Linked DNA regions of Arabidopsis thaliana. The protein of the gene in region 2 interacts with the protein of the main gene of each other region in a pairwise test. Each region holds a gene or a part of one and is shown on either strand. Other genes may lie near its edges.

Region 1 (4,136 bases), on a different chromosome or scaffold from region 2:
TCAATACGATAAGTTATCATCCCTTTTTTTTTGGTAACATCATCTTCTTTGACCTCTCGTATTGACAAGGGAGTATATTCAAGTTTATCATTGTAATTTTGGGTATTTGAATGACTACAAGTGTAAATATAACTATATTTTTGGGTATATACTTGTATTTCAGTTTTTTTGGGATACCCATTCGGTTCTTGATTCGGATGGCTGGGATTTGATATTGGATCTTCGAATGTAACAGTTTAGGACCCATTCGAGTATTCATGTCGGTTCTGGTTCAATTCGGTTCCTTCGAATTTAGGTCGGTTATTTGTGTCCGACTCTTTATATGGGAGTTTAGCCTATAAATGGGCTTATAACACCCCATGGTTGTTTTACACTTGATTTTGCTTCTCTTTCTGTATTCACTCTATCTCGATGTATGAGTTTTGCAACAAACTATCGAGTCTTCTTAGGCTTGTTAAGTAAACTTTTTGCATAGTAAAAGCTTTGCGACCACTCTAGTTACCGAAATCTAAACATGCCATTATGCCAACGAGAAAGAAACCAACAAAATAAAAAAAGATAAGTCACAAATTCAGTCTGTTAAAACCTTAAGAAACTACTAGGCTCAAATCAAACCCAAGACATTAAAGGTCGAATCATTCTTTTGTAGATAGTAAAAGCCTAAAAGGTCATCACATCACCACTTTTATTCTTCATTTTTTTCTTATCATCATCACTTAGCCATCATAATCTTGACAAACTCCTCGTAGTTTATCTGACCATCTCCATCAACATCTGCTTCACGAATCATCTCCTCGACCTCTTCATCAGTCAGTTTCTCACCTAGATTCGTCATCACATGGCGAAGCTCTGCAGCGGATATGAAACCGTTCTGGTCTTTGTCGAACACCCTGAAAGCTTCTTTCAGCTCTTCCTCCGAGTCTGTGTCCTTCATCTTTTTAGCCATTAGGTTTAAGAACTCAGGGAAGTCAATGGTTCCGTTTCCATCAGCGTCAACCTCGTTGATCATGTCTTGTAGCTCAGCTTCTGTTGGGTTCTGCCCTAGTGACCGCATCACTGTTCCCAGCTCCTTTGTGGTGATGCAACCTGTTCAATCAGTAAAAGATAACATGAATAAAAACCAGGTCTTGTGATAAATAAGTCTCCAATAAAACTTTTTTAAGCTACAAGAGCCAACAAACAGCTAAACACATGACCATCAATGGATGCCAGAAAAAAAAAGCACTAGACTCTGGAATCTTTCATTATGGAAAACTCATGATCTGTTCTAAAACATACATGACTATACATGACTGTTTGCTTCTCATACGAAACTAAATATTATCAGAGAACTTAAACCTGTAGCTACATACCACCTTACAAGTAGATTCCCATAACAAAGTCAGATTGATATACATACGAAACATGAATGAAACCAGGTCTTTTGTTTAAACGTTTTTGAGCAAAAAAAAGCCACTAATCAACCAAAAACATGACCATTAAATGAATCTCATAAAAACACTAGAATCTGAATATCTTTGGCTATGGAAAAAGCATGACAGGTGCTAAAACTAAACAGTATCTTTGAACTGAAATCTATAGCAATATACCTACTTAAACTACAGAAGAATGACACAAAAAGACGATTCAGAACAAGAATCAGGAACATGATATTCTGCACAAAGCTAGTAACATTTCAATATAAGTCACCTTCAAAGAAACATCAAAATCACAAATCCATGCTTAGAGATGGAACAAAACTACATCAAAAGAGACAATCAAACGATTCAATCAACAACGAAGTAACAATTCACCACACGAATCACCTGAATCAGAGATCGAATCTAGCAAAACCAGAGATTAGACCAAATCCAAAGCGTATCAAAGAATCAGACTCAAATATTTTCTGAATCTGAAGCTGATCGCAGACGAAATCGGAAAAAATGAGATCCGTTATGGTTTTAACAACGATCAAGAGAGATTTAAAAGAAGAAGATGAGATTGAGACTAACCATCTCCATCTTTGTCGAAGAGGCTAAAAGCTTCCTTAAACTCAGAGATCTGTTCATCAGTTAGCTGATCCGCCATAGCTTCTTCTTCTCGTTTCTTTGGTTTTTCGTTTCAGAGAAGAAATGATTTTTTTTTTTCCTGAAGTCTCCGAAGCTGTGAAAATATCTTAGCGACCGACAAAAACAATTATACGACAATGAGGAAAAAGTTAAAACGAAATTAAATGTTTACGGAAGATAATAATAATAATTTACTAGTTGGGTTTTTAGCTAATCATGTGATTAGTGGATGTGGGACTTGAGAGGAAGCCCAAAGGGCCCTTGGATACACATTAAGGCTTAAAAATGTTTTAATAAAACAATTTACATATTTAAAAAGTAATGATTTTTCAATTTTGAATGATAAATAAGACAATCCTCAATAATACAATAGTACTTAAGTTTTAAGCTGTAAGTTTTCCAAAATTACCATTGTTTTATTATTCAGATCATCATTTTATTTGACATCCCTGAAAAGCAAATATTTACTTTTGAGTTTAAAATAAAATTGTGTTTACTTAAAAACAGTTTTATCCTAAAGAGTAAAGACCTAATCTTATAGTAAAAGTTGACATTACTTACTGTATAATAAAAAAAGGATTGAACTAGTAGTTTCTAAAGATAGGAACAAAACAACTGTTCAATTTTCTTCAGATGAAGATTAAAATCTGTTATTATTTTAAATCTCGGGGACTACAAAATTTACCTCCAAATCTATGATTTACTAAAAACAAAATTAGTTAAGCCAACATTTTAACTAACCTAATACTATCATTTGAACACTTATAGGTATGTTAACTGATTTCAAAATTATCTATATACATCTTTTGTAATGGCATGTTTTCCATCAATGTGTGTGAACATTGAAAACATAAACTGTTGAATATCTAAGGTCATCTCCATTGGTAAGAAACCTTCAAAGTTTCTCAAAAAAAAAAATTACTAATATTTTATTATGACTTAATTTTGTAATTAATATATTCTTTTCTTTTTTTCAGTTGTCTAATTACTTCAAAATTTCTCTGCACAGAAACGTTTCTGTAATTATGTTATTCTCTCTCCTCCTTTATGAATTGTTTATATTATATTAGTGAAAAGCAACTCTCAAAATTGTAACCGATGGAGATGATCTAACCTATTTACCAAAAACAATTCAGACAAAATTTATTTTCGGTTTAGTCGTTTTTTTTCGTTTTCTTAATTTCAAAATAATTTACTGGGAAAAGAAAAAATCATCATTACGCTCATGTGAAAAAAGATCGTTCATTGTATGGGTTTTGGAAGTTAGAAAAGTAAGCAAGCAACTTATACCCTATTGGCCATTATATCTACCGAGAAACAACAAGCTCTTTAATTTATAAATTCGTGTAGTTGCCTTAAACAAACCCCAAGCTTTCATTACACACCACAACCAAAATCGTAGTTTGAAGATTCTGATATGTCAAAGAAGCATCTCAAGCCGTTGGAGACATGTTTTGAAGATGAAGAAGATGATGTTATTTATCTTCCTCCAGGTCTTGTGACCGGTGCAACTTCCAAGAAGAATGAGGAGTTTTGTGGCGGCTCCGGCAAGGTACAACCGTCTGAGATGAAGCGTCGGAGTGAAGGGACCTCAACGGACATGACTTCGAAGAGAGCCAAGAAGGTTTCAGCAGAAGATGAGAAGAAAGTTGGAGAATGGACAAAAAACCCATATTTTCAAAGACTGTGGAGTGAGGAAGATGAGATTGTTATGCTACAAGGAATTATTAAATTTGAAGATGTTACAGGGAAAAGTCCGTTTGAGGATAGACACGGGTTTATAGAATTCGTCAAGAACTCCATTAGCTTCGAGGCTAGTGTGCAACAATACATTGGCAAGATTAGCCAATTGAAGAGGAAATATACGAGGAAAAGGAAGAACGGTTTTTCTGAAGGTCATGAACAGAAATGTTTCAAACTGGCCATGTCTATTTGGGGAACTAAAGAAACGTCTAAGAAGACGGACTTGTGCTCTTCACCTAAAGGTAAAAAAGTTAAAGAAGAAGATGGAGATGTGACAAACTCTGATTGGTTTGAGAATTCGTTTCTACTTCCATCAATTGAGAGTCTTGGTGTGGATTCGGTTAA
Region 2 (5,727 bases):
TGTAACAGATATAAAAGGTGACATCAGTTAATATATCATAGAACACATTTAGATGTTCAAGAGGTATATTCATACCCGTTGTGATAGCCTTGACCTCCTTTCGGTTGAAGTCTCAAAACCCCATTTGGTAAAGCCATCTCATCGTAAATCTAGTAGAGAGAAACAAAAGTGTTCATATGGAACATAGTTCTGGATTCAAGGGATGCTTAAGTCAGTGACTTTACCATTAAAATGTGGCGCAATGGTACTCGATAGTGTGAAGCTAGAGATCCAACCTTTAAAACGACAACAGAACAGTTTCAGGTATGATGATTATTTGATCACGCAGCTGATCTTTGCAAAGTTATGAACAGAAAATACAAACCGATTCGCCGCTGAAGTTCATATAAGTCTGAGGTTTAGCCAACAAGATAGGTACATCTTCAATAGCACCTGTACTGATTCATACATAGAACCAAAAAGTCATCAGTTTTATTATTCTTCAAACCAAAGAACCAAAGCAAGAGAAGTAGAACCTATTCCGATTAGAGCTTTGGACTGTATAGTGTTCATCAACACCCCTTCTTTTCTAGCCAACACATCGATCATCTCGAAACCAACCTGAAAACAACACAAAGTTGTAGCATTGCCAAGATCAAATCCAGCAATTAAGTAAAAGAAAAAGATTGTGTATCATTACATTGTGTCTTGTTCCATGATACTTGTTTCCTGGATTGCCCAACCCAACGATAAGCCAAGGAGTGTACTCTACTTTGAATCTATCATCCTCACCACCAGAAGTAGATGAACAAACCCGAAACCTCTGTTTCCGGAAAACTGGCTTTTGCGTTTGAAAATGGTAAACACTTGGTGTATACGTTGGGCACAACATGGAACTGTTGTTGATTCAAAGACCTATTGAAATTGAAATGACTAGAAACTTTGAGATTCAATACTTGGAATATACATAAAGATAAAAGCTTTTCAGGATATAATGAAATTCGAAATCATATAACAACTGAGAATCAAAACTTAATGAAACCCATTAACAGAGATACAGCGCAGATAAAAAATAATTGAAGTGTAATCGAACAGAGGACTCAGCAAAATTTCTGGAGAATCAGAGATTAGCAATGAGCTACAAGGATTACACAAAAATGTATTTGTGGTTTATATTATGTTATAAATTTTCAGTAGAAGAAGGATAAGTGAGAAGGAAAATAGCTTACCTCTTCTTCTTCAGGATTTTTCGAAACAATTTCGGAATTTTCTTTTGCGAAGACGTTGGAACGAGATAGAAGTAGAACGATGAAATACTGAGACGAAGATGTTAGAAATTGGTCCCGTTTTGTATTAATGGGCTTACTAATATTAGCCCACAAAAATGATGGGTTAAATAATAGTGGCCCAAGTTACTATGATTTTTATACGTCACCGTTACTATGCTCAATGGCGGCACGTGAGTACTATTGAATAACACGTGCGGCTATATACGTCATCCAAAATCTAATCCAGAAAATCCAACGTTGCCAAATCGCCAATCCTGCGGCTCTTACGTAACTCTTTTACTTCTTTTTTTCTTACCCTTTTATCGACTAATTTATGTCGAATAATAATTGTAAATAATTTTCTCAATTTATAAACTCAAAAAAATTTCCTAATTAGTCCCGCCACTTAGTTCGATTTAGTTGATACTGGTTGATTTATTCAAATTTCCTAGCAAATATTACAAAATTACCAATCCAAAATTGAAAGTTGCATCACATGCATTAAATTTCATGATTTCTTTAAAATAAGAAATGAAAATACTCTATTTTCCGTATGGTTTTGGATAAATATGAATTATTACACAAAAATCCAAAACTAATAAGGAAACAAAATTGCATTATTTATTTTTTGGTGCGTTTTAATTTTTTTTTTTAAACGACAATAAGCTCCACAGTGAGTTCTTCTCAGCAATCACAATCTATCTGGTTTAAGCCCTCACTATCCTCTCTCTCAAATCGCGGAGTCTCCGAAGTTTCTCTGGTAATTTTCAAATCTGAAGTTTTGCTTTGGATATCACGATTTTTGTTAATCAGCCGCGATCGAGAAGAGCGTTTTTACTCTCTCGTTCGCATCAATGCAACATATTTCCCAATTTCGTGATGTTGCGTCTTCATCGTTCCTTACTTCTCTCTTTTTGAGTTCTGTTTGGTATAAATGCGATCCTTTTTTTTCCTTCCTTGCCTAATATTTCTCGTTTCCTTGCAATTACGGTTATAAAAAGTCAGACAAAATGCAGTCGTCAACGTATGCGGTTAAAGGAAACGCTGCGTTTGCGTTTCAGAGACGGACCTTCTCTTCTGACAGATCGACGACTTCTACCGGAATTCGCTTCGCTGGTTATAAGAGCTTAGCCACCACCGGGCCACTCTACTGTTCTGGTTCTGAAGCCATGGGAGCGACGCTTGCTCGTGCTGATAACGGGATCCAGAGCGTTATGAGTTTCTCTTCTGTCAAAGCTCGATCGGTCAGAGCTCAAGCCTCATCTGGTTCGTCTCTTCTAATGCTCTTCTATCTTTGTCTATCATTAGATTCTGTGATTGCTTACAAGTTCTTAAATACAATTTGAAGAATCTAATGTATAGTTTGGGATTTGGACTAATCATCTGATGGTTTGAGGAATGAAATGTAGATGGAGATGAAGAAGAAGCTATACCTCTGAGATCTGAAGGGAAAAGCTCTGGAACAGTTTTGCCTTTTGTTGGTGTTGCTTGTCTTGGTGCTATACTCTTTGGTTATCATCTCGGGTATGACTAAATACTACACTGTTTTTATCTTGGTGTGATCATGGATGATGATGTTCTATTGGACTGAATCAGGGTGGTTAATGGTGCTCTTGAATATCTTGCTAAGGATCTTGGGATCGCCGAAAATACTGTTTTGCAAGGCAAGTATATGATGATCCACTTCTTTACTCCTCCTGTCAACGGTAAAATGATTCGTGTTTTGATTAGTAGCCAAACTCATAATTGGTATTCTCTATGATTGGTGTTGAGCAGGATGGATTGTTAGTTCTCTGCTTGCTGGTGCTACGGTAGGTTCATTCACTGGAGGTGCATTAGCTGACAAATTTGGACGAACAAGAACTTTTCAATTGGATGCTATCCCGCTTGCCATTGGAGCTTTCTTATGGTAAATTTTCAAGCACTAAGCCATACCTATTGGTGAGACGTTAATTGATTTCTTAACGCATTGGTTCTTTTTTTATTGATTAGTGCAACAGCTCAGAGTGTGCAGACTATGATTGTGGGACGTCTGCTCGCTGGAATTGGAATTGGAATCTCATCAGCGATTGTACCACTTTACATATCTGAGGTTGTTTAAATACTGATTTTCATTATTTTTGCACTTTTAGCATAAGATGTTAGATTTGTTTATATGTTATGTCTCTGAAGCGTTTGATGATGGTTGTCAGATATCACCAACTGAAATCCGTGGAGCACTCGGATCTGTGAACCAGTTGTTCATCTGTATAGGAATACTTGCAGCCTTGATAGCTGGATTACCCCTTGCAGCAAACCCTCTATGGTATGTAACATCCCTTTTTTATTCATCATCTTTTATTTTGGGTTGCATACTGTGATAAGTTTTGATATCGTGGTCTTCTAGGTGGAGGACGATGTTTGGTGTTGCAGTTATCCCTTCCGTTCTATTGGCCATAGGAATGGCTTTTTCTCCAGAAAGCCCAAGGTGGCTCGTTCAGGTACTCTCAAGGAACAGATCTCAACACTTAAAATGAGATCAATTTTTGACAAGTCAAGGAAATCAATTTTGCAGCAAGGAAAAGTCTCTGAAGCTGAAAAGGCGATCAAAACTTTGTATGGTAAAGAAAGAGTGGTTGAACTAGTTCGCGACTTATCAGCCTCTGGCCAAGGTTCTTCTGAGCCGGAGGCAGGATGGTTTGATCTATTCAGCAGCCGCTACTGGAAAGGTATAGCAAGACTTGGTGGAGATACATTGTTTAGTTTGTAATAAAAGCTGACGGATTCCTTTCAAAGGTCATATCGGATTGATCAATTTACATAGTTTCTTGTCTGTTCTTGTTGTAGTTGTAAGCGTAGGTGCGGCTCTCTTCTTGTTTCAACAGTTAGCCGGGATAAACGCAGTTGTGTATTACTCCACATCGGTATTCCGTAGTGCGGGAATCCAATCAGATGTTGCAGCCAGTGCTCTCGTTGGAGCATCAAATGTCTTTGGTTCGTTTCCCCGTTATGTTCTCATTAAATTCCAAAAATAACCAAAAAAATAACACGATAAAAATCTGGTCGCAGGCACTGCTGTTGCTTCATCGTTGATGGATAAAATGGGAAGGAAAAGTCTTTTACTGACAAGCTTTGGTGGAATGGTACATGTTTTTATTAAAATTCTTAGCCATATTCGAAAATCTCAACCCTCATTAGTATTACCACAACAGGACTAACTTGGATTTTATGGTTTTGTATTGAAAAGGCTTTGTCAATGCTGTTACTCTCCTTGTCCTTCACATGGAAGGCTCTTGCTGCCTATTCTGGAACCCTTGCCGTTGTTGGAACTGTTCTGTAAGTCAATCTCCTCTTAACACTTCCTTATAGTCTCTCTGTATAGGACTTGACTGACTCTTATGCTCGGTTGTTTAAATCAGATATGTCCTGTCATTCTCACTTGGTGCTGGCCCGGTACCGGCTCTTCTTCTTCCAGAGATATTTGCATCCCGAATCAGAGCAAAAGCCGTCGCTCTTTCTCTCGGCATGCACTGGGTATATACATATATCTATAGGTTTTATGGGTTCAGAACAGAGTTTCTTCTCTCTGTTTCTAATGTTTTGTTTCTCTTTTGCCCTAACAGATATCAAACTTTGTGATCGGACTATACTTCTTAAGCGTTGTGACTAAATTCGGAATCAGCAGTGTCTACTTGGGTTTTGCTGGAGTCTGCGTCCTTGCGGTCCTCTACATTGCAGGAAACGTCGTCGAGACTAAAGGTCGATCACTGGAGGAAATAGAGCTTGCTCTTACATCTGGAGCTTGAAATTAAACAAAAGAAATCAGCAGAACAAAAACCAGTTTGTTTCATCATTTAGTTTGTGAGTCTTTCTCTAATCTGCTACTCTTAAATTGTACAATGGACGACGTTATCAATAACGAGAAATCTTTTCATGACCACTACATGTTGGCTTTCCTTTCCCACCTCTCCCTGGTATCTAGCCTGTTTCAAAACAAAAAAAGCATGGCATTAGCACGGTTTTCTCAATATGAAAAAGAATTCTAAAATTAGCGAAATAAGCTCACCCCCAAAACAGTTTTTGTGGCTTCTTCGGTACTGTGACTACTGTCTTGTTATGATTCTGTTCTTCTAAGGTAGAAGAAGAAGAAGAAGTTGGTTCTTTCAACTTTTTAGAGCTTTCGCCATCTTCGATCGCTTTACTCTGAGAATTCTTGCTCGCTGCATTTCAGTGTAGAGCTTTTAGTCTAGTGAATATGAACTGAGAATTCTCAAAAAAAGAGAGCTAAATATATATATACCTTTAGGTTTCTTCTTATGAATCTTTGCATTAGCTTTTATTTGCATACGTCTCTTGTGTAGCTCCTGTAATCTCAACACAACCAAAATGGCTTCAAATTCAAATTGCTATGTACATAGTAATTCGGTTGAAAGAAAAAAAAAAAAAACTGGATTGAACAGTTGATAGAAATTCGAATCAAGATGATTATACGAAGTCGTGC
Region 3 (4,055 bases), on a different chromosome or scaffold from region 2:
ATGGAAAGGCTGATGAGAAGAATTAGGACAAAACAAACTGGGAATTTCAAAGTTATCCTTTCGGGAGGGTGATAAGTGAGTTGATGTTTGAAACATGGATTTTTTTTGCTACTGTAAGATAATTTTACTGCATTTGAGTAAATTCTGGTAAGTGATACATGACATGAGGAAAAAAATAGCATTGTCTGACCTTCCTCACCGACTTTTTGTAACTTCTAGTTGAGTATTCAAGCTTGTTTATCCTTCTTCTTTGGTATCTGATTTCAAAGTAATATGAGACAATATTATCCATGAAAGTAGTAATGTTAAGTAACTTGAAAGGAAGTCGAGACAGAGCTGGGATTCACTCCACACATAGGTCTGTCTTAAATCCTCCAAAACAAGCTTGAGCCAGTCAGAGAGGATAGTCGTTACACAAAAGGGTATACCAGTCTTTTACATTCGCTTAGCCGTTTCACTTCAAATACAAGAATAAAGCAAAGCAGAGGTGATGATGATCTGTGTGAGCCGTATTTTACTCGTGTCTTTTTTTTTTTTTTAACGAATTTTGAAAACAAAATTAAACATAGATTTGCTTTGATTCAAAAATGCAAGAATCAAGAGAAATTTGATTATTTTTTAAACAATTCAAACTGGAGTTGGAATACAATGTATTGATTGATTATACAAGTCACAAGCAAAGCCAAGAATATAACAACTGACAAAGAAACGAAAGAACGATCAGATTTTGGATCCAAGTAAGGTGATAATGAAGTCCTTGTAGTCTCCAGAAATATCACCAGTAATAGCATTGTCCATGCTTGTATTATACATGTTGAAATACTCTCCTCTTACTTTCATCAAATCGATCTCTGCACGCGTCACAATCGCCCTCGTCAACGAATCCTCATCTGTTCCAAAACCCTCAATCGAATCTCTTACCACCTGCCAAATTAAAACACAAAAACTTAAGGAACAAACAAAACACCTTCAAAATACTTTTTGACTCTAGTCTTGCTCAAATGTTTAGTGTAGTACCTTTGCAAAGTGTTTCTCAGGAGTATCAATACAAAAGATTGCCACCTTCAATAGACTTCTCAGATCAGCATCTCCTGGACATCCATCAACATCCTGTCCATACAACACAACATGTTATAATCCAAGAAAAGAAAACCAAACACATGAGACCAAAGTCACCAAACCAAACCATGAGAATCTGAACCTTATCAATTGTGACCCCATAATTCTTCTTGTAAGCAACAAAAGTTTCTCTGAGCTGATAGATACTACGCGTTCCTAATATGTACAGGACATGGTCATGATCTAATTGTTTCTTCTCTATGGCTTCACGTAGCATAGCCGCCTCAATAGTAGCTACTTCTGCATCAGTCCTATCTTTGTCATATCTGAATGTACTTGCCAATGTCACCAGTAACTGCAATTTCATACAATCAACATTTTGAGCTTCTCATAAGGCAAACAAAACCAAAAAAATGTCTTATCTAATCTTGAAGAAAGGACTGACCTTTGCAAGAGGAAAAGGCAGAGAAGAAGCAATGTGTTCTTCAAGAGAAGAGTCAAAGAGTGAACAATAAGCTTTCCTCACAGCAATCAAATGGTTTGGGGAAGTCGTGCAAGAGATCTCTACTATAACCTTCAAATTCTCTAAGCTTTTCTTCTTCTTCTCCTTGTTCAAAATCTTGTTCACAAGCCTTGCGTCTCTCTCTGCTGGATCATACGTCCACGAAACCACAGCTTTCTGCAATTCAATCAAATCACATCTTTTTAGAAAAAATCTCAAGTCGTGATTGAGAAATGTTAGAGAAATAATTACCATGAAATCACCAGACAGTTCGGAGGATAGAACATCGATAAGATCTTTGCCATAAATCTCTCTAAAACTTTCTCTAATCTTCCTTCTCTGGCTCTGGTCTCTTTGCCCTAAAACTCGTATAATCGCCTTCTCATCTGTTCCCCATCCTACAAGAATGAGAAAACTTTCATTCAGAGATTTATGTCTTAATGCATCGAATCACACAACAAATGCTTGCGGCTATGGATGTAACGTACCGCGAATAGCTTGTTTGAGAGTTTCAGAATCCTGAGCTGGAGAAGGAACTTCGTTTGGTACTCTAATGGTGGCCATTTTCGAGAGAATCTCTCTGTTTCTTCGTCTCTCTCTCTCTCTCTCTTCTTTTGTTTTCAATTTAGAGCCGTTTTAGTTTTTTTTCCTCAAGGCGGAGTTATTTACTTAGGAGGTGTAATTATGTAGCTGGGGATGGTGTTTGACATAAATGCCCCCGAAGACGAAACTGTAATATGACGCAATTAGCCTATTTCTGTCGAGATTTTTCGTTTTGAGGACATTTAAAATTAGGGTCATATATTAGTTGTGTGTATTGATGAGTTCTATGGAGCATCTTTTCTCCTAACCTATTTTCATATCCTACATACTATGTAATAATTTCCAATTAACACAAAATAACCTTTTCATATTTTTACTTTTTGTAAGGTTGCAAACTTGCAATGAAATAAATGATATTACAACAGGACTAAAAACAACGTACAATGGTTTTAATGAGGAATTTAACTTGTACCGTATTTAATTTAAGATAAAATAAAATGTATGATATTTCATATAGTACTAAAAATAAACTAAGGTAGCAAATAAATGGACAAATAAATAAATGGTTTTGATGACGAAGTTAACAATGTCTTTATATAAATAAATATATAGGTTATATAGTAGTTGATTACGAAAAGACAAGAAGAACTAACAAAAAGAGATTTCTTTTTTTTTTGGTAGGCTAAACTAACAAAAAGAGATTACAAAACTTATAATATAATTTGATATATTTTTAATACTTAAAACCTAAATATAAAGTTATGATTTAGTCAACTGTCTAAGTTGTGACATGTGCGAAATAGAAATACCATTTAAGATTAGGAACATGATGGGATGATCTTATGAGTGAAGTCTAAGTATAACCAAATCAAATCAAATAAATAAATAGATTGCGATTTGCAAATGATACGGCTCAACACAGCTGTCCTCGATCCAAATTATTGCTAGTCCTCTCGTCGTGTAAAACGTGATCTTTTCTTTTTTAAAATAATCATACTCTAGAATTTTTTGATCCTTCGATGGAAAATTCGTGTGTAGTAGATTAAAAACTGATCACTCTAATGTAAACAAATGTGAATCGACCCTGGCGCGAAAGTACTGGAATCTACACGTAAGTTGATTAATGATTCACACTTTCTTAATGCCAATAAGTGAGTATCTCGTAATCTTGTAAACTTTTTAAAATTTTAATGAGTGAGTTATCTCGTGATTAATATTCAAATTATATTCTTCAGTATCGATCGTGTCATGTATGGATAATTGGATATACGCAAGTCTTATGACACACAATAAAATATGAGGAAATTTGACGTAAGGGTTATATGCTGGCGGCATTTGAGCTGTGGAAAATTGAACTATATATGAGGAACATGCTAATTAAACAGCTTCAGCGGAAGTTGTGCAAAACACGTTTTGATGTATAAATCGCTTATACTAATTCTCATATACTATATAAATCGGGTCTTAATTGGTTGACCAAATTATATTTTGGTTAAGCGACACATGTAGTGGTTGTACAATCTTCTCAAATCTCATTGTCAGATTCAGATAGATATTCAGCAATATATAATCTATAAAAAAACATGTGATAGTACTTGTTGAATATATATATATATATATATATATATATATTATAGAAGCTTAATTATTAGTCTCACAAGTCACAATAATGCGAAACAAATGTGATTGAGGCTTGCCATCTACTACAATTGTGTGCATAATTTATGAAATGGGACAGTCTGGACATAATGAGAAGAAAAAAAACAGAGAAGAAGAGATAAGCTGTCTCCTTTGCCCATGATATTCAAACCATTATTTTTCTGTAATAGGTCCATGTGTGTTTCGCAGTAACAAAAAAAAAACCTTGTTCTTGGCACCAAAGACTATCTATTTCGTAGATATTATCTTTATATATGTTTTAAGATTCAGTGAGATTAGTTGCCTTTAATAT

The links.
Region 1: the proteins of PGLCT (region 2) and CAM4 interact in a protein complementation assay, tested with the Arabidopsis thaliana proteins (one large-scale study listed by BioGRID).
Region 3: the proteins of PGLCT (region 2) and ANNAT3 interact in a protein complementation assay, tested with the Arabidopsis thaliana proteins (one large-scale study listed by BioGRID).

Annotation. Positions count from the first base shown.
Region 1 is NC_003070.9:24,773,719-24,777,854, forward strand, and holds CAM4 (calmodulin 4), read right to left. Parts: upstream 2,267-4,136; 5' UTR 2,068-2,266; coding exon 1,992-2,067; exon of another isoform or gene 1,824-1,991; coding exon 1,794-1,823; exon of another isoform or gene 1,087-1,793; coding exon 713-1,086; 3' UTR 542-712; downstream 1-541. Other genes in the region: AT1G66420 (DNA-binding storekeeper protein-related transcriptional regulator), read left to right, coding at 3,466-4,136.
Region 2 is NC_003076.8:5,270,647-5,276,373, forward strand, and holds PGLCT (plastidic GLC translocator), read left to right. Parts: upstream 1-1,829; 5' UTR 1,830-2,007; exon of another isoform or gene 2,008-2,248; 5' UTR 2,249-2,257; coding exon 2,258-2,513; intron 2,514-2,656; coding exon 2,657-2,771; intron 2,772-2,843; coding exon 2,844-2,911; intron 2,912-3,023; coding exon 3,024-3,156; intron 3,157-3,239; coding exon 3,240-3,339; intron 3,340-3,439; coding exon 3,440-3,552; intron 3,553-3,633; coding exon 3,634-3,727; intron 3,728-3,801; coding exon 3,802-3,955; intron 3,956-4,073; coding exon 4,074-4,220; intron 4,221-4,295; coding exon 4,296-4,369; intron 4,370-4,473; coding exon 4,474-4,562; intron 4,563-4,645; coding exon 4,646-4,760; intron 4,761-4,849; coding exon 4,850-5,032; 3' UTR 5,033-5,166; downstream 5,167-5,727. Other genes in the region: AT5G16140 (Peptidyl-tRNA hydrolase family protein), read right to left, coding at 76-149, 225-275, 365-432, 516-600, 680-871; AT5G16160 (uncharacterized protein), read right to left, coding at 5,167-5,209, 5,293-5,446, 5,527-5,590. UniProt on the Arabidopsis thaliana protein: May be involved in the efflux of glucose towards the cytosol.
Region 3 is NC_003071.7:16,199,156-16,203,210, reverse strand, and holds ANNAT3 (annexin 3), read right to left. Parts: upstream 2,268-4,055; 5' UTR 2,126-2,267; coding exon 2,050-2,125; intron 1,960-2,049; coding exon 1,814-1,959; intron 1,739-1,813; coding exon 1,505-1,738; intron 1,415-1,504; coding exon 1,202-1,414; intron 1,111-1,201; coding exon 1,018-1,110; intron 925-1,017; coding exon 721-924; 3' UTR 542-720; downstream 1-541. Other genes in the region: EMB2765 (P-loop containing nucleoside triphosphate hydrolases superfamily protein), read left to right, coding at 1-26.